Drosophila melanogaster: one gene and its partners. The protein of the gene in region 4 interacts with the protein of the main gene of each other region in a pairwise test. Each region holds a gene or a part of one and is shown on either strand. Other genes may lie near its edges. The genes, in order: CG44837, CG32369, CG3081 and CG8079.

Region 1 (7,568 bases), on a different chromosome or scaffold from region 4:
AGTGGAGCAGACATTCTCGAATTTTATTTCTTCCTAACTACACCGAGTGACTTTAAAATTGTGCACACGTGAAGATTTTGACGTCTGTCAATTTGAACGATGGAGCACTTCGATGAACCGGTTCATAAGAAAACGACAACGAACATCGCTCTAAAAGTTCTATTAACAGTACAGTGGAACGTGAGAGAGAAATATTAATTTAAAACAACAGAAAAATTATTTAATGACTAAAATAATATATTAAGTAAAATATATTTATTGCGAGCAACTGATGCTTACAACAATGTAGATACCTATAAAACGCCAGTAAATATTCGCCAAGATTTCGATATTAAATTTTAAGACATATTGTAATACATATTTGTATAACTATATTACAAAAAATAAGGTAAGATGACGAATTACTTAAATTTGTTTTTAAAACTATTTCATTGTTTTACAATCAAAGCCATTTATCCAAAGGTTGAAAGCTTTGAAAGCTTTCGCTCAAAGAAGATGGCGCCACTTTGTGCAGAAAAAATTCTGAAATGAGAAAAACAAATTATAAAGTAAGGAGCGTTAAAAAAGATTGAAATATTTTTTAATTTTGGCATTTTATATTTATATTTATGGATTTTAAGACTTTTACAAGTTTAGTTTAAGATGGTATTATTCTTGTTTATAGTCTTGGCCTAAAGTCACCTATTACAAGGATATTAAGAGCTGCATTTTGTGTCCACAAACTTAAACAGAAATCGACAATTGTACAGAGCCAGTGATTTCGACTTTAGTAGTCCGCTGGCACGTGAATGCCATCGAATGCGTCGGAAGGTGCTGGCCGGGAACCAAATGTCAGCACGGCATCCGGGGCCATAAATCAGGCCATTTTGTAGCACTCCGTGTTGCGGGTCCAGCTGGTTCGAGTGGTTTGGTTACCACGACCAAAATATCCAGATATCCACTGGGACAACTGCATCCACGGGTCGAAATGCCCCGCATTTGGGACACATGACAAATATGCAGTTTGCAAATGTCTAATGAATTTGAACACGCCTTGCAGCGCCAATTGGTGCCAAGTATTTTGCCTCTGGCTGTGGGTCTTTGAAACTGAAACACTTTTTCATTCCTTTTGAACCATTTCTTGTATTTAAAAATAATTACTTTGTGTTTAGAAAATTACAAAAAAAAAATTGTATCCCAAAATTACTTATTTAAGTTTGTGGCTTCGTGGTGCTTGGCTTCACCCTTTTCTGGATAAGTTGAGAAGACAGGGTAGGGTTAACATTTGGAAACCAAATCGCCGCCAGACAGCAAAAGTATCTCATGCGGGGGAAGGAACAATAACGTACAGAAATATGAAGTTTCTGGAAACGAAACCGAATTTCTATTCAATAAAGTTCGGTGGCTTGGTTGGGCTCGCAACTTGTGGCGCAGATGTTCCCGACCTTCCAGCCAAAGTTCGTTATTTGGTCAAGGAAAGAGGTCCTGTTCGAATTCGACTCACTGGCTACAGTGTCCCCATAAAAAAAATTAAACGCAGACCTCAAACAGAATGGCTTGTTGCAACTTTCACTTGTTTTCGATCTTGACTTCTGACATCCTCTGTGGCAGGGATTTGCCGTCGAGGACATGGGCGTGGCTGGCCAACATGTTCACGAAAAATTATGGCTTGACTCCGACATTGTTGAGCCCTTCACGGGCCAACTTTTGGTTCTCTTTCCAAGTTATTAAGCTTTAAATAAAGAAGAATCCTTTTTAAATTGTTTAGACAGCAAAATTCCCACGGGAATTTGCAGTAAGCCAATGTTTCAAAATAATTATTTGTTGGCTTTACAAGACAATAGGAAACCACATTTTTCTGTTTTTTTCTTAATATTTAAATATTTTTAATTACCACAACGCCTTCACATTTACGTGAAAGGTTTAAATAAAACCAATTTAAACGTCTATTTAGTAGATATTTCCTGTAATTATTAACAAATAATTGTTGTGCCATAGAAAAAATTTAATTTATTATAAGAGAACGGCAATTAATATAATTATATAATAATTAATTATTCCTTTGCCTGCATACTAAGATTAAAATAAGTCACTTAATGGAGCAATGGATATATATCCACAAAGTTACATATATATTTTTGTTTTTACGAACGTCCCATCGATCCGCTTTTTGTTAATCATGTGAGTCCTCGTATCTGAAATATGATTTGCATATGGATGCCGGATGTGCTAATGCAAATTTTTGACCCAGCTTGAATTTCATTAACACGATTCGGGGGATTCAGCGGTGCACATACTTACTTCCCCTCCGTGTTCCGACACTCAGCCCATCCGATGCTTGATGGCCATACATCAGGATGAAGGATGAGCACTTCAGAGTATGTGTGTGCCATGAGCAAGTACTTACATATGTACCCAGGTACAGGTGTGCAGAAATGTGGCCGTGCATTGTAATGTTAAGTTACAAGAAATGGTCACACTACAAAAAAAATTTTAATGCGTGGGCCGTTTCATCTGTACAACTAAAATATATCATGTTTTCTAGCTATTCGCACATTGATTTTTTAAATAATTTATATTGAATTTAAAAACATAATATTAGATATCACACTATATTTTTCTGAGTGCTGGCTTGGGGGTCGGTGAACATTTTGAGATGAGGTTAACAAAAATGGCTATGTGTCGTCGTCCTGCTGACTGCGAAATTGCTTTGGATGCCAAATGAATGCACTTGCATATTTCATTGCCGCCCCGTCACCTGCGGTATCACCTTTGGGCCAACTCTTTGCCCCAAGTTGGGATAACACCATCATAAAACAATAGACTTTGGCTTTGTGGCCAGGAGCAAGCGTAACTTTGATTACCAAGAAGAATGTATGCTATTGAGTTCAATAAGAAAAGCCCTGTTTGGTAAAAATGTTTTAAGGTCTGTTAAGGCATAGCATTAAAACAAAAAAACGCTACTTTGGAGGTTAAATTCTTTTTATTGTTACATGATTCCAATGGATATTTGTTTTATATTTTATAGTTACTTTTTTTCAAATAAGTATTACAATAAAATATCTTTGCATTAACATGGACTTTACATTACATACTGTTAACATGGCGACCCACTGCCATACTTTTTTGTTGGGCCAGGTCACTTACGATCCACAGCATCCATCCACTGGGGGGTACTCCTTGCGGAAACTGTTGCTGCTGCTGTTAGCAGTGCCGTTATAAAGTAACGGTACCGCAGCACTGAAGAGCCCAGTGTGTTGGCAGCGCCGCGTGGCAACGGTAATTGAATTGAACCGGGTAGCGTTAGCGGTTTTATCCAACGGAAAATGTGACGGAATATTGGCGGGATTGACGTGTTATAATTTATTTGTTTTAGTTTACGCCGTGATATTGGAAAAGCATAACAAACATAACATTGTTAGTGAAAGAGTAAAAATAGGTAGCGTTTGGAATCCGATTATTATATCTACTATCTTATCATTTACTTTCACTTACATAATAGAAACGTTATTTTTTGTATATTATATTTATTACTTAGCTTACATTATTTTACTTGCTTTCAATATATTATATGTACATATAAGTTGTACCTCCTTTATAATGTTATATCCTTGAATACTTGAATACTTAGGCCACCAAAAATGTGTTTATTTTCATAAATATGCAAATTAAAAGTAAATAGACCAGAATAAGTGCTAATACTGAAACATAAATAAAGATGATTTGCGTGTCATTACTCAAATATCAACTAAAATTCGTGAAAAAGAATTAACAATCCATGAGTGACTAAAGGGAACCATGTCTTCTGGCGAGTGGGACCTGCGTGCTTTGAAGGCGCTGGAGGAGGAGGAGCAGCGCGAGTTCCTGGCCCTCAGCCAGAGAAACCTCTTCGATCCGCTGCCGAATCCCTCACCGGATGTGCCCAGTGCGAAGCCTTCACTAACTTATGCCCAGCTGCATCCTCACCTGCTAAAGCTGCCGACGATCGACGAGTGCCAGCTGATGGCCGTCAAGCAGCAGAGATCAGCGGCTCTGCGATTCAGTCGCGCCCTCTCCTTGTCCGCCCACTCACTCACCTCGCGAACCGGAAGCGCAACGGCAGGCGGAAGTGGCCTGGGCTTTGGCCGTAAACTGAAAGCCCGCTTAGTGGGCGCGAAGTCGAGTGGCTCACTTTCGCCCGGTCGGCACTCGCACAGCTACAGTGTTTCCCCGGTATATACGCCGCCGCCCATGAGAAGATGTGCCACCTTGCATCACACGCAACCGGTGCGAAAAGTCTTTAAAAATCTCCAACAGCTGCAGGAGCGAAAACGTCAGGCGGCTGGAAGTCATCTGCAGAGGATCGCTGGCACTGGAAAAACGTACTGGAAGTACGGAGCCAATTCCACGGCCGCCTCGATAGTGGGCCAACGTGCACGCCAAAACCAACAGATCGAAGTCGAGGAGCCCAACGGTTCGGATGAGCTGAACTCGGAAACACAGGAAATCTCCGAGGCGGAAACGGGCTCCTGCAGTGTGCCGCTGCCGTCGAAGGACACCAATGAAATACTCCGCCTCATGCTCAGTGCGGCCAGCTCGGCGGTAACTGTGACGCCAACGGCGGCGGCCATTGGTAACGGTAACGTGGCCGGAGCAACTGGTGGCGCCCCGCCAATGCGTCGCTACCAGAATGCCAGCGATGTTGAGGAGGACGAAACTGTTGCGTACGGAGCTTTCCACCAGGCGGCCAAAAGCTTCGAGCGCGGCGCTCTCCTGCGAGTCGGCAGCTTAACAGCCCAAGAGAGCGATAACAGCAAAGTTAATGCCATTAGCCCCAGTCCACAGAACAGTCCCGCCAGGGAAACACAATCCACAGCGGTGGGCGGAACGGGTGGCAGACGTGTGTTCAAGTCCTGCTCATTCGATTGGCCCGGGGAAGCGCAACAGCATCTATCCCCGCAGCCACATCAAGCTGCAAATCCTGTAGAGCTGTTGGAGCAGCAGGGAAAGGACATTCGCTTTCGCCAGAGGGATCACTGGGATCTCGAGCATGCCCACTTCCATCACGAGGCACTTGGACACCTAACAACCAGCACCACCGTCATCGATGACGAGCTGGAGCAGCATATCAAGCACTGTTCCTGCTCCTGCAACCACATGGGCTATGGCAACTCAATGGACTATCAGGTGAGTGAAAACTACGTTCAAAAGAGATTAATACAAATAAAAACTGAAAACAATTTCGGTTGAATAAGAAACATATGATTAACAAATTGTAACTTTCGAAGCTTATATTGTCTATTAATGTCGGTCTATTGTTATACCATCAGTATAGGAAGGCAAATGGCTTTAGTTATTGAAATTTTAGATATTTTGCAATTAAGTGGAATGCTAATTGTTTCCTGTTTGCCCATTTAATCCAAAACCGCGTCAAATTCCCGCCGTGCACAGCCCTTTTACAAGTGATGGCGCCGTGTAATTTTAATTGCAGCAACTATATCTGCAGTGCGGGTGTCCGGCAATTCAGGTGAATGGCGGCACATTCAGAGGGCCTCCACTTTCTATCCAGCTTTTAATGCACTCTGGCGGAGATTCCAATACACAGGCATTTCCCAAACTCATTATCAGCGAGGCCTTTTGTGGACATTCCGGGTTCACGGCTGGATTGGTCCTGGCAGATTGCCGCCTGGAGATCGCCCTGGGGCACTGACTCTGCCATTGCCAAGTGCTCCATTGTCTGGCTGCGAGTGGCCCGCATGGGATGGGTTCAACTTTTAAACTAAATTGAATACCCCTTTGAATCCGACAATGAGCTGGATGCCTGTTCTTGCCGGGATTAAGCTCACAGTTGGGTTTCTCGCACCCTCACATCGTTATTGTCTGTAATTGTTAAGACGATTTTAGGTTTAATAGCTGCCATTTCAAATAGAGTTGGAGTCTGTTGGCTGACCCCTCGAAAACTCAAGACTTTATCTTTTGTTTTACCACAAGGATGCAATTGCACACTCTATGTGGCCCTAAGGGGTGTGAGACTTTTATTGTGCAATACTCAGGAACAAACGGCCTGGGAAACTTAAAGCATGACAGGAGTCTTCAACTAGGAAATATTTTCTCGGTTAATAATGCACTCTAAAGAACTTTTAAATACCATTGTATGTAGATGATGATGTAGATGATACCATTGTATGATGAAATGATTGCCTGATAGTTAGGACCTGAAAAAATGAATTCTAGCCATTTGCATAGTTTGATTACGACTTTATAGGAGATTGTTTACAGCGTACAGATAGTTCTACAATAGGTGCGATTGCGATTGGGTGTGCTTTACTAATAGCGTTACTAACATAGGGCGTTTATTTCTAACTCGATCGAACATCCAGGGGGGTCATGCGTCTAAAGGCTGTGGGTTTATCCGTGGGATGATCCGATCACTGCAGCGTGCTCTGTGGCGGAGTGAGCGGGGTCCAGGTGTCGGCAGCTACGGCCGGAGCTCCATTCACCACGGCGGTTGGCACCGAGACCACGGCAGCTCCACCGCCAACAGTGCCCCGTTCCCCGGCGTGCTCCAGGGATGAGGACTCTATCTTGATGTCGTGAGAGCTCTTCAGGGAGGAACTGGCGCACTCCAGCGTTATGACCGAGCCCTGCTCATCGCTCGGCTTGTACATGGCAGCCTGGGGGTCGTCCAGTGTCTTTGAAACATCAACGGGCTCCAACGGATGAGTGGCATAGCTGGAAGGCGGTTGGTGGGAAATCATTGATAGCTACGTTAGCGGTAAGTGCGCACAGTTCCCCACCGATTCAACCTACCCGATCTCCAGGGGAATGTATTCCGGCTGGTAATACGCGGCGGCAGCGTTCTGGTACAGTCCGTACTCCGCCCCGGATCCATTGTGCCAACCACTGGCGGAATAGCTTAGCGCCGAGGGCGCATTGAGAACCGCATTCGTGTACAGCTGGTGAGTGGGTGAGGTGGGCGTGGGATGGTACACCTGGTGGGCAGCTGCACCGTATGCCGCTTGCGGGGATCCCGTTGTTCCTGCCCCGCCCCCAACGCCCACTCCGGTTCCATAGATATCCGTTTGGGCCATGTTGTACTGATGACTGTGTGGCGTCAGGTGATGAATGGTGTAGCTGGGCGAGGAGGTCGTATAGCTCGGGGATCCATTCGTCGGCGACGGAGAGTTATGAGATGCTATAAAATTAAATTTATCAGTCACCTATCTTCCATATCATGATTGTAAATAGTCATTATAATGTGTGCAGCAAACTAGAAACTGTCAAAAAGGTGATACCATTGTCCAAAGTTGAACTTTTTACAAAAAAAATTACTCTGCTTACTTAATAATATTTAAGTATATATTTTACTTTAATGGTAAATTGCTAAGTGCATTGAAAACTGTCACGATTCTTAAATTATTTCAAAAGCAAGGAGCTCAAAACTTTTGATACGCGAAAACTTAAGAGCAACACTAGGTACTTTTTAATTAAATTTCCGTTTCGAAAGTTCAAAGGTCACGTAGCTTGTTAGCAAACGTATTGTATCTTTGGTTAGCCTTTCGGGTATTTTTGCAAAGATATAAGCAGAAGCATTTCCTCCTGCCCTCCAT
Region 2 (7,316 bases), on a different chromosome or scaffold from region 4:
CACACACACACACACAGACACACACAATCAAATCAAAGAGAGAACCCTCTCTCTCGCGCTCTTGGATTACTGGGTGGCCCAGGAAGAAGAGGAAGAAGAACTACAGTATCTATTACTTAACCACTGGAGAACGCCACAGATATCACGCACTCGAAATGCATTTCCCACATCACCAGGCCCAAAAAGCGATGACGTGACGTTCAGCACCTTAGCACAGAGCTAATTATTAAGGCACAGTTCTTATATAAACTGTCGAGTTCAATGAACTTTCGCAAAGTGCCCCCTGGAAGCCGTAGAAAGCCAAACTAAATCCATTAAATCGCCGCAAGGTAGGGCATAGAATAGAATCGCAACCAGGCGGCGGCACATGCTATTACATAATATTATGAAAATTAACACTGAATCACATAGAGCGAACTGACGCGGACGCTGGCTAAAGTAACGAAATCAAAATCATCGGCACACAGATACTTTTTATACCAATACTTGCGCACGTCTACCTTCTCTTAGCCGTTCTCTCTTACGTTCTCTTTACGAGAACCATTTCAGCGTGTATTTGTGAGATACGAATAGAGAGTAGCTCATTAAAGAGAATCTGTTTTTGTTTTTGTCTGGTTTTTGGCTTGTTACGGTTTTATTTTATTTTTGATTGTGCGCACGTTTTGCTTTTGACGTCGTTCGTATTGTATCTTTAAGATAAACAATGCCGGCATAACACACGGATACAGATACAGCGCACTCTCACACACCTGCAAAGTTCGGTTTGCCTTCGCATTCTGGTTTTGTTATGTAAACAATTTTTTGGTTTGTCGTCCGCCCGGCATCAAGATCGCTCTTCCTTCTCTTGCTTTTTTGTTCTTTTTTTTGGCTCATAATTTGTTTACATTTGCAAAGGCAATCAAAAGTGTGCCAAAATAAAATGAAACTACAAAGCTGCGTGAAAATGAAATTTTTAGTTTTTCTTCATTGGCAGCGATATTAAAACGCACACAGAAACACGGGCAAAATCATTTTTATATCAGGCGATTTCTGCTTTTGCATAAATCTCGTTGTTAAGTAATGCTGAAATATCTTATAAGTTGGTAGTTAGCCAAGAAAATGAATTTATCAAGGGTGTGTTTATATGTCCGCAGATATACGATCTACATGAGACTTTCTGATCGAGTTGGCGACCCAAAAAATATAATGAAAATTAAACACGCATGTTATATTCGGAATAGAATTTCGGCTGCAGGTTACATAAGATCTGGGTAGGTATTATTTCTTTTTTTTTTTTTTTGGTTAGATTAGACAGATAATACACTTTCAAACGAACGAGTTACTGGCAATAGAAGATAAGAGATAGAAAATTTGAAATAAAGTGGGATTATTATGAGGGTCAATAAATCGTCAGCATGAAACTCAAAAATATAGAAATTAATTGGATAATATCTACTTAATGTTTCAGTCAGTTGGAGCTGATCACGACGTGACCTTAAGTCCTCACTCACATTTAAGTTCCCTGTATATTGTACTTGAAATTCACGAATTCGCCCTGCAGAAATTTCCCTTTCGAAAGCAATTTACTGATATCGATATTGTAGCACTCGAGAGAACTCACTTTCTGATCATTTTAAGCAAAACAGCGCAATCTCCGCCTCGGAAACGAAACCATATAAGCAGTATATATAAATAGAGAGGTAACGAACGAGATTGAGATAGGGAGCTCCAACTTTCATATCAGCTGGCATTGTGAAACATTGTATTGGACAAGGGAAAAGTTGGTAAACAAGCCAGAAGGCACTCGATTCTAATTGTTCCTGTTGCCGCTCGGCTTTGCGTAAGTAAAAATTATGTATACGCCTCATATAACTGCACGTGCATCCTGGTGCAATCGTGGTTGCAGTTCCGTGTACGTAAAGTCCTATTGCATAATCCGTATCCGATAAATTGTTCCTAAGTGAATAACAAATATGTGAAGCCCGGCTACCTGAACACGCCCTCAGGGCAATAGCTTATAGCGTAGATTGCTTTATTTTTCACAATATTATGCAATGTCAATCGTAGATACAAACAACCGTTGTCCGTCGTCACTCAGACAAAATGGCAGCGTTGACATATAATATGTGTATATAGCTACATTTACAACGGCGTTTGTCAGTATTCTAAGTCAACTGAATTCAGGCATTGTTTGCCTTAAGTCCGATAAGTGATTGTAGGCGCGCAGTGATTGAAGTCGATAAAGGAACTTACAGCACTAAATGTGATAAACTCATTGAGCGATTGTTGAAATAATTACTATTTGCTTGCTTGTAAAGAACTGATTGAAAACGACAGTTGTTCTGTATCAACTATGAAATTGCTATCTTATGAAAATGAGTCAACAAATGATTCATCTTCATGAACATTCATGTACCCAAATACGATATGAGCAACAGCTCAGGTGTGGAAATTCCTACAAAGTTGTTTAAGTCTTTCACCAATTTCCTAAAATCCCAAGAACTTCTGATAGAGTTCTTTAATCGCCAAGTAATCACGCCACATAAGCCAATAAATTGCATAACCAAGTGATTATGCTCCGATGGTAGTTTTCGACGTAATTATGAAATCGCATACATTTTCATTGCCTTAATGTTGGCGTTTATTTGGTTTTGTACATTTTGATTTCTTCTTTGATATTTGTTTTATTGGTTTCTCATTTGTCTTGCCGTTTTTTGCTTGGCTCACACGTTTTATGACATTGTATTCGAATGGACGACAATGACGACGGCGATAAACGCTGATATAAATAGCTCAAAATAACTACAAAAGAAACTGGGCTGAAGAATTTATTGAGGCAAGCCAATTAGCAACCAAAAATTTCTACATAGTTTGTGATTTTTCAGGTTTTCGGTTTTGATTTCACACCGATTACACAAGAACCCCCACATTCGCTGTGACTAATTGGCCCGGTCCCTTTGGGCCTTACATAAGTTCGGTGTAGTGTTTGACTTGGTTTATATAACAACGATCCAGCTGTTTGAAGTCTGGCTTCCTCGATATTCGACTCTGAGTCATGACGAACCTTTTTCGCCCGATGACGTATGCAAATAGGTTTTTCCTCTTTTCGAGCTAACCATATTTTTTCAGCATTTCCCCAACCCCTTTGGCGTTTTTCGTTTTGGGCCAAGTGGGCGAACTGTGTTGTTGCGGCTTGTTCATTGGCAGCAAACGTCGCATAATACTCGTAGTACATTGCGTGTCGTAACGCTAAACGTCAACCGAGTGAGAGGGGCATATGCGGTCGAGGGGGGGAGAGGGAAGGAGCCCAGTTTCTCGCTTTGGTAGCTGACGAATATTGGGTGGTGACCCCGACAAATTGGCGAATCTTTAGTAGATTATCGGGGATTGGAAACTGTTAACCAGAGAATTACGAAAGCGATGACAACGCGACAGATTCAAGGAAAATGAATGAAATGAAAATGAAAAAAACTGACGTTTTTTTTTACCAGTTATATTTTATATACTTTAACTTTGTATATAAAATTTGTGTCAACTATAATTTAACGAGGTTGAATTGTTTATTTTCTTAATTTTACTTCTTTTAAAATTCCCAAATCGTTCTTTCCACCATTTGTTTTTTGCTTATCTGAGCTAATTTATCGCGAAATCGTTAAGATATATATTTTTCCACGGAAGTTTTATCACACATTAAATATAAATGATTATCAAGTGCAGGCCGAATTCAATTGGCCACAGAACGTCAACAAAGCAGCGCGGAAAAAACGCTTAGTAATGCCTTTAAAAATATGGCAACACGTAAGAGCCGCCCCTGCAGTTTTCCCTCCGCTAGACTCAAGCAGTGCACTTTTTGTTTTCACAATCATTGCAGATAGCAAATGAAAAACTGTTTTCCCCGACAAAGAGCGAAAAACTAAGAGAGAGACTTGAATGTGCCAATCTTTGAAAACGCAACTTTGTCGAGCGTTCATTCACATTGAAAACAGAGGCATAGCATGTGGTTTGATGTCGTAACACACACAAAGAGAACCCGAAAGAGTGGCAAAGAGAGCGCAGAAATGGAATTACCTGTCGCTGTTGAACCGCGCCTCCTTGTTTTTCCCCAAAAAAGGGTAGGTTTTTCGCGGGGGGTGCGGCGTGTACTGTTGCTCAAGAATCACACACAGACACACACACTAACACACGAAATTCTCCCTCTTCTTCTTGCAATTTATTTAAAATTTTGTTGTTGTATTTAGTTGTATATATTTTTGTTTGCCAAAAATTTATAGCCACACGCGTGCGAAAAAATCGAATTGGGGAATCTATTCACTCGTGTTATGTGTTGTTTGATATTTATATATATTTTTTTTTTTGTTTTGTAAGAACTTGGAACGGCGCTTGTCCGTCGGCTTTACGTAACCCCGCCGCACACACGGGTTAACTTTTTTTCTTTCTTTCTCGTAAAGGGTGTGCGGCAATTTGGGGGGGGCTGCACTTGGACCCCCTTTTTATATTTTGTGACTAATTTATTTATTTCATTTATTCACACCGAGAAACACGCGAGCGAGCACCTTTATTTTATTTTATTTATTTCTTTGATTACGTTGGCGTTTGTTTTGTAATACGCTTACGTTACGCGACGAGACAGAAAGAGAGAGAGCGAACGCACTGGGCGAAAGAAATAGCGACAACAGCAGCAACGGCGGCAACGTGTTCGAGTGGCTCGGCGATGATTTGCTTATGGGGTGCGCTCCACTTTGTTGCTTTTTTATTTGCCTTTTTTATTATTCATACTTTTTTTTTGTATAATTTTTATTATTTTGCTTTTTGTATTTGTATTACGGCCTGGTTTTTTTTTTCAAACTCTCCCTGCTGTCTGAACTTGCCACGGCCGCTGTTCAACAGCGAATGACTGCTGTGAAAAGTCAGTCGTTGGCTTGGAGCGAAAAATTGGCGCTCTCTTTTGGGGTCGACTCTCTTACGCCTCCGTGGATGTGTCTGTTGCGTCATCGATGTCTGTGCCTTGAGCTCTCTTTGTTTAGCACTTCTCTCTCTGGCATTTTATTTTTTTTTTTAATTTTTGCCGGCAAACCGTCAACTGTCACAACAGGCGACGCCAAGAAAAATGATGGGGCAGCGGGGGCTGCGGTGGGTGATTTGCAAAACTATTGGGTTGGGGGATAGTGGGTGGTGTTGGGGGTGCTAGTTTGCCAGTGGGCGTCATTTATCGTATGATGCGCATTTCCGGCGCCACTCAACAGACTACAGCCATATAAACACCAAGCAAACATCAATAATCACAACAGATACGGTCGATTTTCTGTTACTTAAACTAAATTACATATATAAAATTTTGTAATTTTGTTTAATACGCAAATATAGTTTTTAGATTATGTAAAATAGAATAAAAGCTTACTCAAATAACTTATAAAATTAATAACGAAATTTGTATAACAAAATACACAATAGATTAAACTGTGAAAATATAAGTTGATTAATTCTCAGACATGTCATTACAAGATGTATTAATTTTATAATCCTTAAACAGGTTTTGAAGCTATAGATTTCCTATCCCGATAGAGCTCAGAGTTGTTAAAGTTCGTCTGTAATATCGAATATCTGCGTTTCGTAAGTGTTGTGTGGCTATTACATATTGTTTTGTCATTTAACGCAAATTACGTATACGACGCGTTGACCTCATTTGGGTTGATCAACAAATGCAGTTGTCGACAAACTTGGCTTATAACAACCGCGTATCGCTTCCCCTCCCCCTACTTCCCGTCTTTCTCTTTTGGCTCCGCTTGGCTTGTATTTCAAGCTCAAGTTCAACGTTGTCTGTTAGCGGTTGCCTGCATACTACCAGTTTTCATGCTGCTGCTGCTGCTGCTGCTGCTGCGTTTCCATTAACATTTTGAGTGGCCGTTGTTGTTAACTCATTTTTCGCTTTCGTAAGTCTTGGACAGTATAAAAATATGCGGGGCGGGCGAGTGGAGTCCGCTTATGTTTGAGCATTGCTCGCATTTATTGCAACATTTCCCCATAGGGAAGTAATCGAATTGCTTTGCCTCAGGTCTGGGTCTGGTTTAAGCCTGCATTCAAAAAAAAAACAAAGCTTGAAAGTTTACAGATTAAAACATATTAAAATTAACAAAATTTATTCTAATATATATTTTCAAATTTCTGAGTTGTAGAATCTCAATAATCTTTAATTGTTTAGCAATTAACGTTATTTTAGTAGTACCATATATTTTAATACCATGTACAATTATATAATTAAATTTTGACTGTGTACCGGTTATACAGCTCCCATTTCTCAAATAGTTGGCGCTGCTTTTGTTGTTCATCAACGGAAATTAGCTGCGAGTTTCATGTTTGAAATGTTTATTTTGTAAGCAATATATGAGGAAATTAGTTTCAGTTTTTTTTTTTTGCTTTATTATGTTTTTTGCATAATAGTGTATATCACCGATTTGGGCTTTGGTTCAGCTGAATTTGAAATAGGTGTGTGAAGCTGACAAACAAATTATTTATTTTTTTTCGTTGTTTTAGTGAATGTTAATTGAAGTCGGGCGAGTTTCGTTTGTTGCCAAGTGGAAGTGAGAATTTGTCTTATGATTGGAATCCATGGAAGTTTTTCCACAGATTAAATGTTGAATGGTATACATTGTTTTAGAATGCGCATTTTATCCGAACTTGAAGTTCGTCATTTCAGTTCTTGAGTTTCCGGCAGCTTTATTTAGCGACATGTCAACTGCACCCAACAGTTTTAACAGCTTATCTCATATCCAGTTACCATTTTCAGATCCTCTCTCCACTCACCAATTATGCAATCAACTTGACCTCCAGTTACTCAAAACTGTGTATTCCAGCTGCTTTGAAGGCCAACCACTCTGTTTTGACAATGCTGCCCCGAAGTTGGCTATTCGTTCAGAGGAAAAAACTCGCCTAATGGTATACCACAAAATCCACAGAAAAATGAAACAGTTTTTATCATTTTTTTTTTTGCATTTATCGTTTCAAAATTTGTATCTAAACCTTTATTGTTTGTTCTTTCTTGCAGTTTTCGTAAAACATAATTATTCGCCTTGCCTTAATCTCACTTCTTATCTCTTGAAGTTCCTACTAATTAAATTCAGTTTCTATTACGAAATTAAAGACCATAACAGAAGCATAACTTTCTCATTCGGTTAACAAAATCTACAAAAACTTATACAGAATGTTATGGAACTCAATATGAATTAAGTTGAGTGTAAAATAATTAACAAATGACTTGACATTAGGTAGTAAATTATAGCTAATCTGCAGCATCTCGAGCACTTCTGTTGGAGTTTCTTTAGGTTTTCTCTTTTGTTTTT
Region 3 (6,752 bases), on a different chromosome or scaffold from region 4:
ACTTTTGTTTATTTATTTTTGAAAATATATGTCGGGTGTTTTCTTGTTTTTGAGTGTCGTACGCATAACGTTACCGCTACCGCTCCGTTACCGTTTCCGCTCCCATAACCGTTTGAGCTCGCTTTTTCATTTCCTCCCCGCCCACCGCCCACCGCCCACCGCCCACCGCCGCCTTTGCACATTTGCAAATAGCGACAGTTAAAGTTTATTTACTTGGTAACGGTTACTTTGGACCAGAACCTTTGCCACGCAACTCGTTTTTGGGAGTCCACAGCTATTCGCCATATACACACACAATCGCAACGGAATCGGTTAACTGCGGTGGTGACGGAATTTCGAAAAGAATCTATTCGAATCGCACTCGAGAATCAATCGAAACGCCTGGCGTTAATGGTTTACCAATTGGCCAGGGCGACAGCTGTTCGGCCAGCGGAAATTGAAATTGGAAAAATTGAATGGAGCATTGAAAGAAGCAGAAGCAGGAGGCGGAGCACAATCCACAGGATACAGGAGCTTTGGACCAAAGGATAGTCGGCGGCAGAGCGTGAAATTAGCTTAAGTGCTTGTCGCCTCGACCAGGACACACCAGTGGATACAAGTGCGACATTAGATACGATACAAGAGTACCCGAAAGTAGAGAAGTACCTTCATTCTGGCGAACTTCTAGCCCAACCCCAGTGCCTCGGCCTAAACCAGCGATTCAACCGTGCACGTGTTTGCCAACTAGCTTTTTGACTGTCTAATCCTGCGGATGCGAGAATGCAAGGACACCATGTGATAAATTGCACCCCAGAGGGTTGCCATAAAAATCATCGCTTCACCCAGCTGGGGTGACCACCTCACCCATCTCAACCATCTCATCCAAGGGGTGCAAACTATTCTACCCATATATGCTACCAATCTATCTATCTATCCCATCACTGTATCTATCTGTCTATTGTGTAGCGTTAGCATAGATACCACACCATCGAGCCAAGTGCTGTTAGCTCCTTTGTTGCTAATTGAGTTTAAAATCAATTTGTATTTTTTCACGCCGCAATTTGTTCGAGCGCACAGCTACATTGCGTAATTGCCGTGCAAATTTAATTACAGCGCCGATGCGGTAATGCTGGTTGACCAACAAAACAGCCACGCGCTGCGAACGTGCGCCCTTGTCACACCCACTCACAATACGGAATCAGCACCCAGTGGAACACCCACTGCAGCACCCATCGATCAAGGCCTCAATCAAGTGGTGACACTCGGAGCGCTCCGAGTATCGAGTTACCAGCGAAGGTCCATTTGCATTCCTTAATTGAAATTCGTACGCGTGGGAAGACCACGCAGCCTGAAAGCTTTGAATCTCCCAAAGTTGGATGTTGCTCCATGTTTTTTTTTTTTTTTGGAAGAGATGATCTTCCATTTAACAGATTTCACTTCTCATATTCATATTCAATTATGCCACATAGTAGTTCAATCCAATTCAATTGCAGGCATATTGCCGGGCTCACTTGCTCCTGTGCCCGCTTAGGGCTGGCTAATCCTTCTGATAAATGGTCCGGGCTTTGGATGAGATGCAGTGGCTCGTTTTTTAGCGCGCGCAGAGATGTTGGAAATTTTTAGAAAGGCAAACACAAACAAGGCATTAAGTGGCATTAGACAAATGCCTTTCTACACATGTTCCAGCGTAGAGATTACGCCGTGTAATTGGCCCCACCTCCATTCGCCCGGGGTGGGTTCCGGTTTTCGATTGACATTTGGCCACGGCTGCGGGGTGGGCTACTGCTCTGCTCTGCTCTGCTCCTTCTACAATTTTTTTTTTTTTTTTTGTTCTTTCTTTTTATCAATTGCCTTGTTTGCGCTGGGACCATAAATAAGGGCATTACTCGCAGGGGGCGTGCGCGTTTTCCTAACAGGTGTCTATCGACTCCTGGCTAATCCCATGCCCATGCCCATGCCCAGCTCCCTGACATCGAGTTCCTTACTTACTCGTTCGTTGCAGTTCGAAGGCCGATTCCAGTCGAAGCGTCTCAACAACTGGGAATATCCGCGATTCTCACCACCCCGCCCACGTGGTCTGCAGAAGAACGCCAAGGTTGTGGCGGCCAATAACGGTCACCTGCTGCCCGAAGTGATAAAGTAAGCAATTGCCAATGCCCCACAATTATACAGTTTAATTTTAATCCACAGGGAGGGCAACTCATTTGGCCAATATCGTGGAACCTACGAGCTACCGCGTCGAATAACCCGTGCCTTTTGCGCCCACTACGATGCCTGTCTGAGTGGGCGGTACAAGTTTGTTGACTTTCCGCGTGACCTGTGCAATTGTCAGCGAGAGAACCGCAGGGCACTGGCCTGCGATCAGCGGTTGACCTTGGGCCACAAGGACGATCCCTACTGGATGCGCGAACGGTGCCAGACGAAGTGCGAGGGACTACAGAAGCTGAGGGCGTTGAGCGAGCGGAGTGCGCGCTGCAATCGGGCCAAGTGCGACGTGGTGGTGAGTGGGAATCGGGGTCACCATCGGGGTCACCATCGGTGTCACCTCTTACCAATTATGTGCACCCAGATTATTGAGTTATCTGCAACCAAGCTATACATATTTTCATTTCTGGTTGCACTTTTTGCACTTTCATCCTGCACCCTGCACACTCACATTCACATTCACCTGCAACCGTAGAGCGAGAAAACCGTGAAGATGACGCCGAAGGCAATCAAGACGACGGGTGTGGCCACCGAAAAGCGGCGTCGAAAGCGCACCATAACCGCCTTTTCCAAAGGACGAACGGCATTGCATCCCAATGAGCTGACCAAGCCGATTCCATCGTCGGAGAAACCGGCGGCGACTGTCGCCACTCCCAAGGACAAGCCGAAGGACAAGCCAAAGGACAAGGAGGCGGGCAAGAAGGATAAGACGAAGGATAAGGGCAAGGAGAAAGAGCGCAAGGCGGCGAAGGGCCATTAGTAAAACTTCATTATTTTGTTCAACCGAAATTCAAATCAAATTCATTGTAACCGCAGGTTTAAAATACATTTTAAAGGGCAGCACGATTGCACTCAACACAAATCATATAGCATATATATTTTATAACTAAACCCAGGTTAAACCATCTGTTACATATGTACATAAATCATACATCATTATCATCTCCATCTCCATCTCCATCTTATCTCATCCCATTCCATTCTGCACCACCAACGCATTGCAACAAGTGAACGAACCTGAAAGCCACCTACTCCATTACTCCATCCAATCATGTCGCAAACAGCTCTCCCGGAACTGAGCTACACGCCGGGCGACCTAACAGAGCCGCAGTTCCGGCTGCCCTCGCACCAGGAGCTCCTCGACCAGAAACGCAACAGCACGGACAGCGTGCCACTTGGTCGTCTCACCTTGGACACGCGCGACACGCAGCCCATCAAGTACAGGGAGCAGCTGGGCTCGGCGGCCGGTCGTCAATTTCCGGCATTGGCAGCGGCCCAAAATCGCTATACGGATCACTTGGAGCGCAGCAGCGAGTTGAGCTTTGCGTGCCTGGAGCCGGGCAAGGATCTAATCTCATTGCCGACGGTGGGTATACGAAGCTTTGATCTCGATCCCGTATCCGTATCCGAACCCGATTTGATCAAGAAGATGCCGCTGCACTCGATCACGGAGAAGCCCAACGAGCGGTGTCCATCGCCAGTGGTGCCGGCATATGCCAATTTCGAGCTGGCCAAACGGATGCACCAGGACAATTTGGACCACCAGCCGCTGCCCGATTGCGTCGCCGATTTGGCATTCCGGCGAGCGCAAATATCCGGCGGACATGCTGGCCTGGCCCTGGAAATCGATCCCATTGCCACGGGCGTGGGTGTGAAAACGCACAATGCTGGTCCGACGCACTGCACCAAGATGAAGGTCTTTCGTCCGAAGACCGGCGGTGGCATCGTGCCACGTGCCCTCGGCAATGGCGATGCCTTTCGAGGTGTTGGCTCCGCTCCGGCCAAAAAGATGGGACCCATGGATTTGGCCATTTGTTGGGACTTCAAGCCGGCGAATCCATCGGATGAGCCGCGCCTGGCCAGGCACATAGATGGCTCCAATGACTCCGCTGGACCGGCTGTCTTCACCTGCGTGAAAACGCCTCGCGAGGAACAGTCCTCGGACTTGGGCCGATCGGCTGGCGTCTTCACCAGCACGCTTGGTGAGGCCGATTTCTTCGACAAGGACATCCTGAGGAAGCGAACGGATTTTGGCGGTGCCCGTGTGGATCGCGAGGATCCGTGCGCCTGCGACTACTCGCCACCGGCCAGACAAAGAGCACGCAGTGTCTCCCGCGATTCCAGTGCATCGCATTGCAGGCGAGGATCGGGCATCGGCGGTCCAACTGGCGGTGTGAGTTTCGGCAATTTGGCGGAGCTACCCGGTCGCGGGATGCCCGATCGTCTAGCCAAGCAGTATCAATCGTCACCCCTGCTGGGCGACAAAGCCTACCAGGCTTTGAGGGAGAAATATTTGGGTCCGGACTCTGGACAGGATTGCAGGGCCATGGATTGCCGGCCAACGGGTGGTCCACCATGCAAGCGAGACGTTCTCCTCCGGCGTCCAGCTCGACGTCTCTGCCACAAGGTGGCTCCAGCTCCCAGATGCTGTCCCCCATCGTTCGGCGGACATGGTCATCACCATGGACATGGACACGGACACGGACATTGCTTGACCAGTAAGGCGGCATTTCGCGCCGGAGTGCCCAAGCATAATGCCTCCGGTGATTTCGTGGGAATAGAACCGGGCTGCGGAGGAGGTGGCGGTGGCGGTGGTAGGGTTCTGGTGGTGCCACGCCCCCGGCAGCCGTATGCCAAAAAGAATTACGACATCGAAACCCTGGTGCCGCCCTTCCAAAGCCAAGCGGGCGGAGCGGGTCAGGGCGGCTATCCAGAGCACTGGCGATTGGCCAGTGTCTATCAGCACGCCTACAAGCCCATCGACCAGCGGCGGCGACCCCTTCTCCAAACTGTCTACAAGTAGGTGTGCTCCAGGATGGCAGTCCGCTCAAGAGAGAAATGTCCGGACAAACGGGATAATGAATAATTGAAAGCTATACAAAAATGTCCATAAGCTAAGCAAGTATATTAACTTATCAACTTAAATGTTTGCTAGTCATTAGCATTAAATTGATGCATCTGTACACACAAATTAGTCGGAAAAATCGGTCCAAGAATAGGAAATCACACGTTTATGTATAAAAAAACAAATGTTATATATATTAGAAAGCATATATATATATATATATAAAGATATATGGGCAAACATACATACATACATATATGAATAAACGTGCAAACATCAAGTAACTTAAAACTATAAACAGTGTGCAAATTAATTTGCAGAGTTCGCTTGAAAAATTAAGAAAAAAAACTTGATTAAAAACTAGGTGATGATGTGGTTTTCAGATGAAATAAGGTTTCCTTTCCTTTTTTCGCTGGTCTTGTGTGACAATCTTTGGGTGCAATTAAAAACTTAACTAGGTGCTGAAAAATCGAATTGAAAAGAAGTCAATTGGGTCAATTCAACAAGGGGAAGGCGCATTTCAAAAATAATAACAAATAAATTTAAATGCTTTCGGTTACAGAAATGCCATTTGAAATCCCCTAAAAATCGACGCACCAATTGAATCTGTGGAGCCAACCTGCTCACTTGGCGGTTGCATAGGCATCGTGACTCTTGTGGAACACATGGCGCAGCACGTCCCGCGTGGACCGCCTAATGCTGTTCCGCAGTGAGTGCTTCTTCTCGTTGGTCAGCTGCTCGATGGTCATGTACTCGGTTTGGGCAACGCTCGAGCGGAGCTTCATGGTCCGTTCGCTGGTGTCGATAATGGAGACGTCGGCGAGAACGGGCTCCATTTGCTCCTCCAACTCGGCCGCCTTTTGTGGCCTCCTGCGCAGGCTGTGCCGAATGCTATTGAGTATGTTGTGCTGTCCATGGCCCTGTCCATGTCCATGTTCATCCTTGTCCTCGGACTTTACCTCGGATGGCGTGGTGTGCGACGTGGGATGCATCAGTCTTCGAATGGACTTTCTTATCATGCCTTTCATTCCGATACTGGGCTTAACTTCTGCCGATTTGGCGGACTTGCTTGATCCGATGGACTGCAGCGACTCCTTGCTGGCCGCCTTGGAGGGCAGAGCGGCGGGTCTGTAGGCGCGAACGAAGCGCGCGGGTGCCTTGAAGTCTAGATCATCGGGCTCGTCGTCGGATTCGGATTCGGAGGCATAGGCCACATCGCCGTCGGTTGGCTCCTTTTCCCGTTCCTCTTCTAGCTGCCTTTCCAGGAGCTCCTCCTCCTCCAGCTTCTCCTTCTCCAGATGCTTGGCCCTCTCCTGGAGCTTTTCCCTGAGCTGCTCGTGCAGCTTCTCCTGCAGCTTCTCTCGCTCCAAATGTTTTTCCCTCTCTAGGAGTTTCTCCTGCTTCAATTGCTTCTCCCTCGTTAAATGTCGTTCCCGCTCTGAGACCATCTCCTGCTCTAGAATCTTCTCCTGCTCGAGAATCACCTCTGCTTCGCGGTCCTGCTCGAGCAGCTTCTCCGTGTCCTCTTCCACCTCGGAAGCCTCGCTAATCTCGGTTAGTGTGCGTCGTCTGGTGCAAACCAGACGCCTCTCCACTTGAGTGTCCACCGTCACCACTTCCTGCATCATCAGCTCCTGCGTATTGGTCTCCATGACCAAGGAGACCTTGGTGTTCTTGGGCAGTTCCACCTCCAAGCTATTCCTGGGCAACTCTCTATCCACCA
Region 4 (10,466 bases):
TCCATCATAGCGGGCAGATCATAGATTCCGATATCGTGCCACTCAAAATTCCAGAAGGGCTGCAGCAGCGGCGACTTGCTGGCGTGTCTTTTGGAGTAGGTGTTGCCTCTGGCATTACCCATCCACACATCGTAGCCCGCTTCGGACAGCAGGTATGCCAGCCCACTGTGAGGTCCAGCAAGAACCCAATCCGAGGAGGAACACAACAGACCGTGCATAAGGAAGACAACAGGGCGTGGCCCATCGTACCCAGTGTTCTTCGAGTACGGTATGCGGTGCATTGTGAGGATGTAACCATCCGAGGTCTGCACCTCGTGCTCCTCGATTTCGTAACCGTGTCCCCTAACAATGGTGACCTGGAAAGTAGAGCAATATAGTGGTTAGTAAGGACTTTTGGGTGCCAAAGAACATGGCATCCTAAAACTTACAGTTGTCACCGAACTGGCGCGCCCCGTATCCGCAGGCAGGGCATTAGCCAAGCCCAGACTTAAAAAAACCGCAATTAGCTGAACCACCAACATTTTGTATTCCACAGGTGCAGGTGCTTTGACCGCTGACTTGGCCGCCCGTGCCTTTTATATGCCCCCCAGGAACTTGATAAGGATTCCTAGATTTGGCTGCCTAATTTATGACTGTTTATTTTTGCCTGCAAAATGGTTTGATTCGCCAAGACTGATAGATCGTGTGGGAATTTCGATCCCAGTTGATTTAACGAATGGCTAGTGGTCATCAGCGATAAGGTCTCCTATAATCTTGATAACTGCTGATTAGGTATAATTGCTAAGAGTTAATCAGCAATTAGTATTTCCTGCTTTGGGCGTACGGCAAACTGGACATTAAAAGACCCCACATCAGTCTGTAAACTGACATGCTAAGCCGGTAAGGACAAAACTCAATAAATGTAGTATATTAAATGAATATGTTAAAAAGAATTAATTGATTTAATATTACACATAGTTCTAAGTTAAATATTTTAAAGTGATTACTATAATTAAAATTCGCGCCTATTAGTTTAAATTAAAATCGGTCGATAAGTCCAAAAATCGATAGGCGGTAAACATGTTGACACAATCAGTGTGGCCAGCTGGAATATTCGTAAAAATGTTGCGTTTTCTTGACAGGCGATTTTGTATTTTGGGAATGAGCGACGTCCGGCACACAAGAAATATAACATAAATAAAAAACTAAATAAATAATTAACTGCCGATAAAGGACACATTATGAGGGATCGCGACCGCCGTGACAGAGATCGCGACAGAGAGAGGGATAGAGATCGGGACCGAGAAAGAGACAGAGAGCGAGACCGCGACAGACGACACAGATCAAAGTCGCCCAGCAGGAGCAGCCGGCAGGTTTCAAAACCGAAGAAGAAAAAGGCCAAGAAGTCGAAAAAGTACTCGAGAAGGAGTCGCAGTAGCAGTCGCAGCACCTCGCGCAGCTCCTCCAGCAGCAGGAGTAGTTCCCGCAGCACGCACAGCAAAAGCAGAACCAGGGATCATCACAAATCGCGGTCTATTTCGCAGAGGAAAACCAGGGGTCCAAGTTCGGAAAGCAATTCCCGATCCGCAACCACACCCGCAGCTGCTCCCGTGAAGGCCATCGATCTGTTCGACACCAAGGTGCAAAAGGCACTCGAGACTATAGACGAGGACACCTTCAAGCCGGAGTCATTTTTTAGCTCCAGGGATTCAAAGGAGACATCCGATAAGGTGATCATAGATCTGAACAATGAAACGGTCACAGTCGCCAGCAAGCCAGCCACTGCAGTCCGAAACGAAGATGTAATATTCCATCCGAACGTGAGTGGGTTACCTGGTGCTCGAATATACATGCTAATAGTATCTGATTTTCAATTCCGACAGTTCCTGGGCGACCCGGATATGAAGGCCGAGAAGTGGCTGCGCAAGCTGTACAATTACCGCCAAAAGTACATGCAGGAGTAGTCGAGTTTAGACTCTGTATTTAAGAAACAATAAACCTATGTCTAGAATATATCGCTGCCCGTCTTTCGAGCGCGTTGCAAGGCCTCCTCCGGAGTCAGTTGCTCATTGACCGAGGGCTCCTTGGCGCTGCCGTCCTTCTGCAGTTTTCCCGCCTTGAAATCTTCGATAATCTTCTGCGAGTAGACGGCGTTGAAGAGATCCAAGCTGGTGAACTCCGACTGGACGACGTCCGGCGCCTTATAGGACACGTATGGCTTTAGCTTACAACCGGTCAAATCGGGAACTATGATGTCCGGAATTTTCTCGGGAATCTCCACATACTGCCCGTCGACAAGTATGCCCGTGTCTCGTACACCTCGCTTGTGAATGGCTACCGGCGGATTGGCCAGTGTTTTCTGGGCTTCCTTTACCACGCGCGTACCGCGCTTGTTGTATGCGTTAAATTTACGGAAGTTCCGCTTGCCCTCCAGCACGGATGAAGTACTGATGGTCCTCTGCTGGCACCTTAGGGCAATGGGCACTACTTTAATACAATTATTCATTCTTATTTCGTTTTTCGGCGACCAAAATGGTTAAATAACAAATGTAGATGAGGGAACAGCTGTTTGGTTGGGTAGAGATGACACTTTTTTCGATAGACAATTAATCCCAGTTGGAAATGTATTGGAAGCCAATTTGCTATTAAACTACTTGTTTTTTTAAAAATACCGAAAAAGTTTTTTTTCTTTTAGGCCGTTGCCATATTTATTTTATCTTGATAAGAACTAAGTTGTTTTTTTTTTCAAAAACTAGGCATATTTTTTTTATGTGTAAAAGCAACCATCTCTTAATAAATCGATTAACTTTGCAGCCACCAGTGCTTAAAACGACTGTTAGTTGAAATGAAACTAGATGTTGGCGGATGTCGATGTTTTTGGCGAATAACATCGACGTTTTAAACATCGATGCTTTAAATAAAAATAATTGCTTTTTATTTTAATGTTGCTTAAATAAAACGTCAGTATTTGGTGTCCACCTTTTCATCCTCCGCTGGTCCAGTAATTGCTCCTATAAGACAAATGCACGTTTACATACATACATGTATATACATTTAGACGTGCATATGACATGCATTCATATGTGCAAGCCTTTTTCGGGTGTTAAAAACTTTCTTCTCAGATATTTTCCATGTCTATCACGACGCCACAATATGGTATTAATAATTGTATTAGAAGATATGGAAAATTAATTTGTACTTACAATTTATACGCTTTTCTCCTCAGATGCGATGTAGAGATGGAAAAACATCGATGATTCCTCGAAAACATCGATGAATGCGATTTTTTGAAAACATTGATGACATCCATGCTAGCATCGATGTTTCTCCATCTCTAGCTGAAACTCCCCAAATCGGCTTGTGATCCCTATAAAAAGTTGATTTAGATTCGACGGTTGTTAAACAATGTCGTTACCGGCTGAAGAGGAGGATTTGGCGGACACTGTCGCCAAGTACGATTCCATCGAATTGAAGAGCATACAGGACCTGGAAACCTGCGAGCAGCAACAACTACTGCAGTACGTCGAAAAGCTGCACGGGATTATCCGCAAATACGACACCAAACTGGCGTCCTATAAACAAAAACTCCTACACTACGTGAGTCCCAATTAAAGGTTGAGCTAAAATGGTCTTAATTTTTGATCTATTTTAAAGGTAAGCCGGGAAGAAAAGGTTTCGTGTGACAAAGCCAGCCAAGCAACTGAATCGGAATTACAAGAATGCCAGTATTCCATGGAAAACGATGAGGATACTAACAAAAAAGACCAGCCCAACGATTGTGAGTTAAAATTTGTTTTATTACACTGAGTCCTTCTATTATTGCTACAATAGTAGTGAGTTCCTACTTTGTTTTACTGGCCACCGCGGCCACCAGCGCAGCTCCACGTCCGGATCCGTCCTCCGAGAGCATGATGTCCCACTCCTTGTCTGCTTTCACCAGCTTTTGGAGTGTTTGCCTCATGTAGGCATCGAACTTTGGATGGTATCGGTAGACGGAGCCATCCATGCCGACTATCACGCGGCGGTTGGAAGTCCTGTTCACCAGCCCACTGACTCCGATGGCTACTAATGTAGCCGCTCGCTTAGCTACGCACTCGCAGATGTATCTCAGAGTCTGGCAGTCCTCCACGGAGGCCTTCTCTAGACCAAACAGATTTTTCACAATCTTCCTTGTGCTGGCAAACTCTGGGAAGGAGTCGTCCTCGATTTCCGAAATGTAGCGCGTCTCGAAAACCTCTTCGTTTCTCTGCAGCACGCTGGCGAATTCTGGACGTCGACTGCTCTGTTTAAAGATCAGCTTGCGCTCGAGGGCACGAAGTAGCACAAGGCGCACCAGGTTGCCCAAGTACATGCCCGCCGTCATCTTTTCGAACAGCTGCTCCGATCGGTTTAGAGACTTTTCGTCAACTTCGCGATCGTATTCGGTGCGCACAAAGTCCAACTGACCACCCTCACCAAAGGCGCCCCACTCAGCATTTACAATCACACTCCGCTTCGTTTTTTTAAAGTCTGCGCGCAATAGGTCCACATTCTCAACATCTTCAACGTAGCAGGCATTGCAGCCAGTTCCCACAATGACACCCACCCGGCAATCTGCATTACGATGGGCGCAGGACATCAAGGTGCCAGTGGTATCGTTGAGTATAGCCACCACGGCAATGTCGGCATCTCCGCGCCGCTGAATGGCCTCGTGCAGCATGCGGCCCACATCCTCGCCCTCAACCCCAGCACAATCGAATCCCTTAGTCCAGCGTACCAGGATGCCCTCCTTAAGGCCTAGTTGCACGCAAGGGAAGGAAAAAGTGAAGCCCAGTGGCAGATATGCGGTCTTCATGTCGTGTTTCTCCACAAATTTGGCCAGGCAGCCCGCAATGTGATCGAATAGGTCCACACCGGGCCCCACCATCAGGTCCTTTGGCACGGCATAGATCTGAGAATCCACCGTGGCGTCGTGGTGACCTTTCAGCGAGACGAGCAGTACTCGGAAGTTGGTACCGCCGAGATCCAGGGCCAGGTACTTGCCCATCTCGTCGCCCGTGGGCAGATCCTGCACGTACGTGGGAAAACACTTGACGTTGGCCTGTGGATGCGTGGACCGCTTAAGTCCACGGGCCACTTCCAGGCAAAAGCGACTGTACACTTCCTGCACCTGGTAATCACTCAACACAAAGGGTTGCATAAGTTCTCGCACCTCCGCGTCCAGCATTTTGCTTGGCTAATCTATCTGTCTTAGTTGTAACCGCCTCGAACGATGAGTAACGACTAACCAGGCGCCTGGCGAGCCCACGGCGATTTGGAGTTGCCCTGGGTGCCTGATAAGAGCCAGGCGTTGAGATGCAGTGCGCCTTGGAAACAACTGCTGCCGCTGCAATATGGGCGCTGCGTAGCAAATTAAAAACGAAAACACACCTAAGTAGCTGATTTGCGGATTCCGAATCTGAAACTACAACTGCGCGACATGCTAATCGCTCGTTGTCTCGTTTGCCGCTTGTCAATTGGTGGCAATAGCTTCAGATTCGGCACCCTACAAATTAATTGTAGATCGTCTTTAGCCGACTATTGGAAAGGAGGAAATATGTCACAATTAACTCTGCGAATAAATCCCGGATGGACACCGATCGCATGGCACAAGAATCCATTAAGAGATTACTATTAAAAAGTGTTTCAGTATCTACAAATAAGGTGTCCTCCGTTGTACTAAATTGTTGTATAACTTTTCGTAGAGTGCCATATTTCCGGAAAAAATGGCCAAGGCCGTATTTCACTTTTTTACTTTCTAAAAGCCATAAATTGTCACAGGGCGATATTAGCTGCAACACGCCTTCTTAGTTACGATGAGATAAGGCCGTTTCAAGGACCGCATCTTACAAGCGCAACCCACCCACTTGTCTATCTATTGAGGAGTATTGGCGGGGTCCTAGGTCGAGTACGTCAAACATTCCATGCCGGTAATGCCCGAGATAAGCACTGAAGTGTCGCATGGGCTAACGCCACTGCCCCTGACAAAAATCCGAGCAGCCCTTGACACTACTCTTAATAGAATTAATATGATTACGCAAAACTCAGGGGATTAGAAAAATAATTAGAATTCTTATACTAACACTTAAATAGCTACTTTATAGTTCGTCTAAATACATATAACTATAAACATTAATTTATGAATGTAAAGATAACTACAACCCATTTCCGACTATTTTTAAAGTTGAAATAAGGAAATGTTTTTCAAAACTGCTGATAACATTGCTCATTTTCGTGTCGTTCACCACAGGTTTCTGTTTTTATTTCTATATTGTCTTAAATATTTATAAAACCTTATCAATAACCATCAAAACATTACAAGTCATGTTTGGAAAATAATTTATATTTGCAGTATCGGCGACGGACGCCTTCAGTTTTGTGGACGAAATGAGGCAGGCAGCCAAGCACGCCGAAAACCTGAACAACTTCGTTTACGAGCACACCTCTGGCATGTACTACGATCCCAAGACGGGATACTACTATAACGCGGTAAATAAGCTATAAACAGCGGACGCAATCTTTATGACGTCCCGTTCTATTCCGCGATGCAGTGACTGCACCGCGATGACTTTCAGGGGTTATCGCGCTGGCAAACCTACATCAATGGCTCGGATTGTTGTTAATCTACACCTGCTTTTCTCTTCCTCGCAGGAGTACGGGCTGTACTACGATGGTAACAACGGCTGCTACTACAGCTATGATCACGCCAAAGACTCGTACGAGTTCCACTCTCAGGCCCAGGTACAGGTGAGTGGGTGTAGTTGCGGATTTCAATGCCATACGACCACATTAACCACTGTTCTTCTCCTCCTCGCTGCGCAGCCTTTGAGCGACTGCGCCTATAGTAGTCTTTTAGCGGGGTTTCACAAACTCCGCATAGACCGAATGCGTAGCAATGCATTAGGTAAGAGTCAAGGTCCAGAATGTGCGATAAAAACGCGGATTTCTTTTCTTAACTTGGTTGCAGGCGAACGATGCGGCCAAACCGGAATCGGAGGACGAGGATTTGGAGGTGCAGTTCGATGAGCTGGGAGGCGTCATTACGGACCACGAAACGCTGAAGAAGATTAAGGCCGAGAAGCAAAAGGCCAAAGATCAAGCTGAAAAATCCAAGCGCAAAGCCAAGAAAAAGAAGAGTAAAAAGCACAGCAAGAAGAGATCCAAGAAGGAGCGCCGTCACAAGTCCAAGAAGCGTCACAGGCATTCTGATGATGAGCGGTCTAATGATGCCGAGGAGGGCGAGCTGTCGCAAAGCAGCGACTCCAGTTCCGACTCTAGCAACGAGGATAGCAGCAGCAACACGGAAGACAGCAGTGTTCCAGTTTTCAAGGCTGCCGGACGCTTTCAAGGTGTTTAAGTTATCCGCGTTTTTATCGCGCTCTTCCCTGTTTGTTTAACTAACGCTTTCTTCTTTGCTTAGACATTGCTAAAAAGTATCCACCCTCCCTCCGCATCATTGTCCAGGAGACTAACGTAGAGTCGCTGAAAGTGGGAAGCCTGCATCTAATCACATACAAAGGTGGATCTCTTGGACGGGAGGGCGCTCACGATGTTATCATTCCGGACGTGAACGTCAGCAAGTGCCACTTAAAGTTTAAGTATGAGAACAAGTTGGGAATCTACCAATGTCTTGATCTGGGCTCCCGAAACGGTACCATTCTCAATGGATCCCCAATGTCCAGCGACGCCATGGATCTCGTTCACGGCAGTGTTATCACTCTGGGCCAAACAAGACTACTGTGTCATGTCCACGAGGGTAACAGTACCTGCGGTTTGTGCGAGCCGGGCCTTTTGATAGAGAATTCTCCGCCGGTAGTGGCCGCTGTTGCCTCATCCACCGCATCCGTATTATCTCACAAGGAGCAGTTAAAAAAACTGCAGCGCAAATATGGACTAGAAAACGAAAGTAAATACAAGACAACTTATACTCTCACTTTACTTTGACAATCCTTAATTCACTTTTAGAATTCGTTGATACTAGCGGCAATGGGCAGTCCAACTACAATGATCGTGCCGCAACAAGGAGAGTCCAGGTGGGCAGCAGTACAGATAAAGAAAAGACTGAGGTGGCTTGTGTGAACACGTGAGTATCAGCTTACACATCTTAACTTGAATTGGTTGACCAATGTGTTATTCGTTTTTAGTGAAATCGGTAGCTCTAATAAGGGTTTTAAAATGCTGAGTAAATTGGGCTGGCAAAAGGGCGAAAAACTGGGCAAAACAAATGCCAGTGCTGGACTTTTGGAGCCGGTAAGTGTTTTAGACTTATAAAGCTAGTCACTACTTCTAATACCAACCCGTTCGCAGATCAATGTGGTAGCCAATGAGGGCACTAGCGGTCTGGGAAACAGTGACCCAGTGCTGTCCAGCTCCAGAACCATTGACAAACGGAAGCTGGCCAACTTGAAGATCACTCAGGCGCGATATCAGCGCGCCAGTGATATGTTTGGACAATCGGATGATAGTGATTAGAAAGACATTTTGAATGATGTTGGAAACACATTTAATTAACAATTACTCAAACATATTTATAAGTGTATGTAAATATATATGTATGTATATACACATAGATTCTATGTATGTATATATTAATTCAAAAATCTTGCTATAAGGTTAAGCTATCAGTCAATTAATTAATTTAGCTTCGCTTATAAACAAAAAGAATAGGGGAAGGTAATGTTAAATAAATACGACTTCGCACACGTTGGTCTAAACTAATTGCGAGCCTAATGGGCATACAAACCGATCGTTTAAATTAATTATCGTGTAGCCTAATGTTAATGTTAAATACAAAAGCCTCTTAAGATATGTGGTTTCTCTTGCGATACATGCTGGATAAGATTTGCTGCAATACGTAATGTTGTAAGGTTGATAATACTTTGCCTGTATGTTAAGTGTATCGGATAATATGTAGTGTAAGCTCGGTAGGCTTGGGCAACAGCCGCAGGCCCATCCACCGATTACAACACGAAAACGCACAACGAGAATCTTTGGATGTTGGAGCTACGGAAGAACACGCTACATAAAGCCCTAGGCCGATGTGGTCGAGAGATGCATCCGATCTCCTAGCAGCTACCCTGGGACTTGACGCCGATGAAGTAGCGGGATTCGCAGGAGTGTTTGTGCATCTCACACCACGAGTTGTATGTCTGGTTGTTGTAGCCGCATATTTTGTGTACCTAATATTACAAAATTAATTCATAATAGGAAAGGAAATGTTTTATTTACAAAAAATCTGTACACACCGGTCGCTGCTGCTTCCGCGGACACTTGTAGCGACAGGTCACGCATCTCGGCTGGCGCGTCTGCAGATCCACCAGGCAGTTATCCTTTGGCCCACACTTGATGTCCGCACAGCTCACGCGGCCTGCTGCAATATAAAGTTTATGATGCGAACGCATTAATGACGGCTGCCTGCGGTTAAGTTTCAGCTTTATGTCTGGCAATTTCGGTTTAATGGCTCCTGCACACTGAAATGCATGTCCTGGCCGCCTGAGAACCTGGGCAGGTGCTTCTGTGATTACGGCAGAAGTGCCTGGCCATTTTAGAGCAAGCTTTCAACTTTTAAGGGCCATATACAAATGGTGCATTCGGTGGCTCATTAGGTCATGAAGATACTATATGTAGTAGTCTGGGCGAGATTAATAGAATATTGACTAAAGTTCAATTTTAGGGCTTACTTAAGAGGAAAGGATAGAATAGGATGCATGCATATGCACAACTAAATCTGTTGTCGTATCTCAGTCTGTCTTAAGTGCAATTTTCTAAGCTGACGCATAGTTCACACCACGCATTATCATGAGATACTAAACTGCACAAAGATAATATTTTGGTTTAGATCTGAAAATTATAAACGGACGATATAGAACCACATTTTTTATTATTGTATACTATATCCATCCCTTTTATATTTGTTGAACTAAATAAAGAGATAATTACTCTGATCGTATCATATTTTTTTGCTGTGCACCACGTCCCTTCACCTCACTCCATTTCCATATCCATACCCATCAGCATGCACAAACCCATGCCCATTTCCCATTCCATTTCAGCAATGCGCAAGACGGGTAGCATCTTTGGACCGGGCCAACATCCGACATCCGACTGGTGCGACTGTCGGGGAGTCGGCCAAATGGGCAGTTAGCCATTTAGCCAGTCATCCAGTCGAGCTATAAAGCAGCCAAGCGGCGCGCAGCCGCAAACGCCGGGCAAAATATATGTGTTTATCGTCAACATGATCTGCGACTTGGCAACTATGTTGCACAGAGCCCCCGGGCATTGTCGATCGCAATTGCTATGAAGGCGGAGCAGCAAAAGGCAAAGGGAGTCGTCTGGATTGTCTCTGTCTGGGTGTCTGGAACTGCATCTGCATCTGCATCTGCATCTGGAGTTGCATCCGCGGGTGACGGTGCGTGAAAGTCCGCCGTCTAGCAATTCGTAACAGTTAAAGTTTATTAATTTCAACTGCC

What was found.
Region 1: the proteins of CG8079 (region 4) and CG44837 interact in a two-hybrid assay, tested with the Drosophila melanogaster proteins (one large-scale study listed by BioGRID).
Region 2: the proteins of CG8079 (region 4) and CG32369 interact in a two-hybrid assay, tested with the Drosophila melanogaster proteins (one large-scale study listed by BioGRID).
Region 3: the proteins of CG8079 (region 4) and CG3081 interact in a two-hybrid assay, tested with the Drosophila melanogaster proteins (one large-scale study listed by BioGRID).

The regions. Positions count from the first base shown.
Region 1 is NT_037436.4:11,934,550-11,942,117, reverse strand, and holds the start of CG44837 (uncharacterized protein), read left to right. Parts: upstream 1-3,245; 5' UTR 3,246-3,418; intron 3,419-3,610; 5' UTR 3,611-3,777; coding exon 3,778-5,145; intron 5,146-6,198; exon of another isoform or gene 6,199-6,386; coding exon of another isoform or gene 6,387-6,690; exon of another isoform or gene 6,691-6,712; coding exon of another isoform or gene 6,713-6,722; intron 6,723-6,768; coding exon of another isoform or gene 6,769-7,153; intron 7,154-7,568. Other genes in the region: Rpt4R (regulatory particle triple-A ATPase 4-related), read right to left, coding at 1-14; byn (brachyenteron), read right to left, coding at 6,387-6,690, 6,769-7,153.
Region 2 is NT_037436.4:7,804,950-7,812,265, forward strand, and holds the start of CG32369 (uncharacterized protein), read right to left. Parts: upstream 4,877-7,316; 5' UTR 4,048-4,876; intron 1-4,047.
Region 3 is NC_004354.4:4,637,560-4,644,311, reverse strand, and holds CG3081 (uncharacterized protein), read left to right. Parts: upstream 1-3,149; 5' UTR 3,150-3,235; coding exon 3,236-4,987; 3' UTR 4,988-5,053; downstream 5,054-6,752. Other genes in the region: CG3062 (uncharacterized protein), read left to right, coding at 1,982-2,118, 2,170-2,479, 2,660-2,944; pon (partner of numb), read right to left, coding at 5,653-6,752.
Region 4 is NT_033778.4:15,215,080-15,225,545, forward strand, and holds CG8079 (uncharacterized protein), read left to right. Parts: upstream 1-3,301; 5' UTR 3,302-3,384; coding exon 3,385-3,576; intron 3,577-3,633; coding exon 3,634-3,757; exon of another isoform or gene 3,758-3,820; coding exon of another isoform or gene 3,821-5,185; exon of another isoform or gene 5,186-5,250; intron 5,251-6,349; coding exon 6,350-6,486; intron 6,487-6,648; coding exon 6,649-6,744; intron 6,745-6,819; coding exon of another isoform or gene 6,820-6,964; coding exon 6,965-7,346; intron 7,347-7,417; coding exon 7,418-7,903; intron 7,904-7,962; coding exon 7,963-8,080; intron 8,081-8,141; coding exon 8,142-8,247; intron 8,248-8,304; coding exon 8,305-8,469; 3' UTR 8,470-8,736; downstream 8,737-10,466. Other genes in the region: CG8093 (uncharacterized protein), read right to left, coding at 1-356, 429-521; CG11808 (uncharacterized protein), read left to right, coding at 1,221-1,799, 1,863-1,943; mRpL41 (mitochondrial ribosomal protein L41), read right to left, coding at 1,985-2,485; Hex-C (hexokinase C), read right to left, coding at 3,821-5,185; Fs (follistatin), read right to left, coding at 9,063-9,176, 9,243-9,367.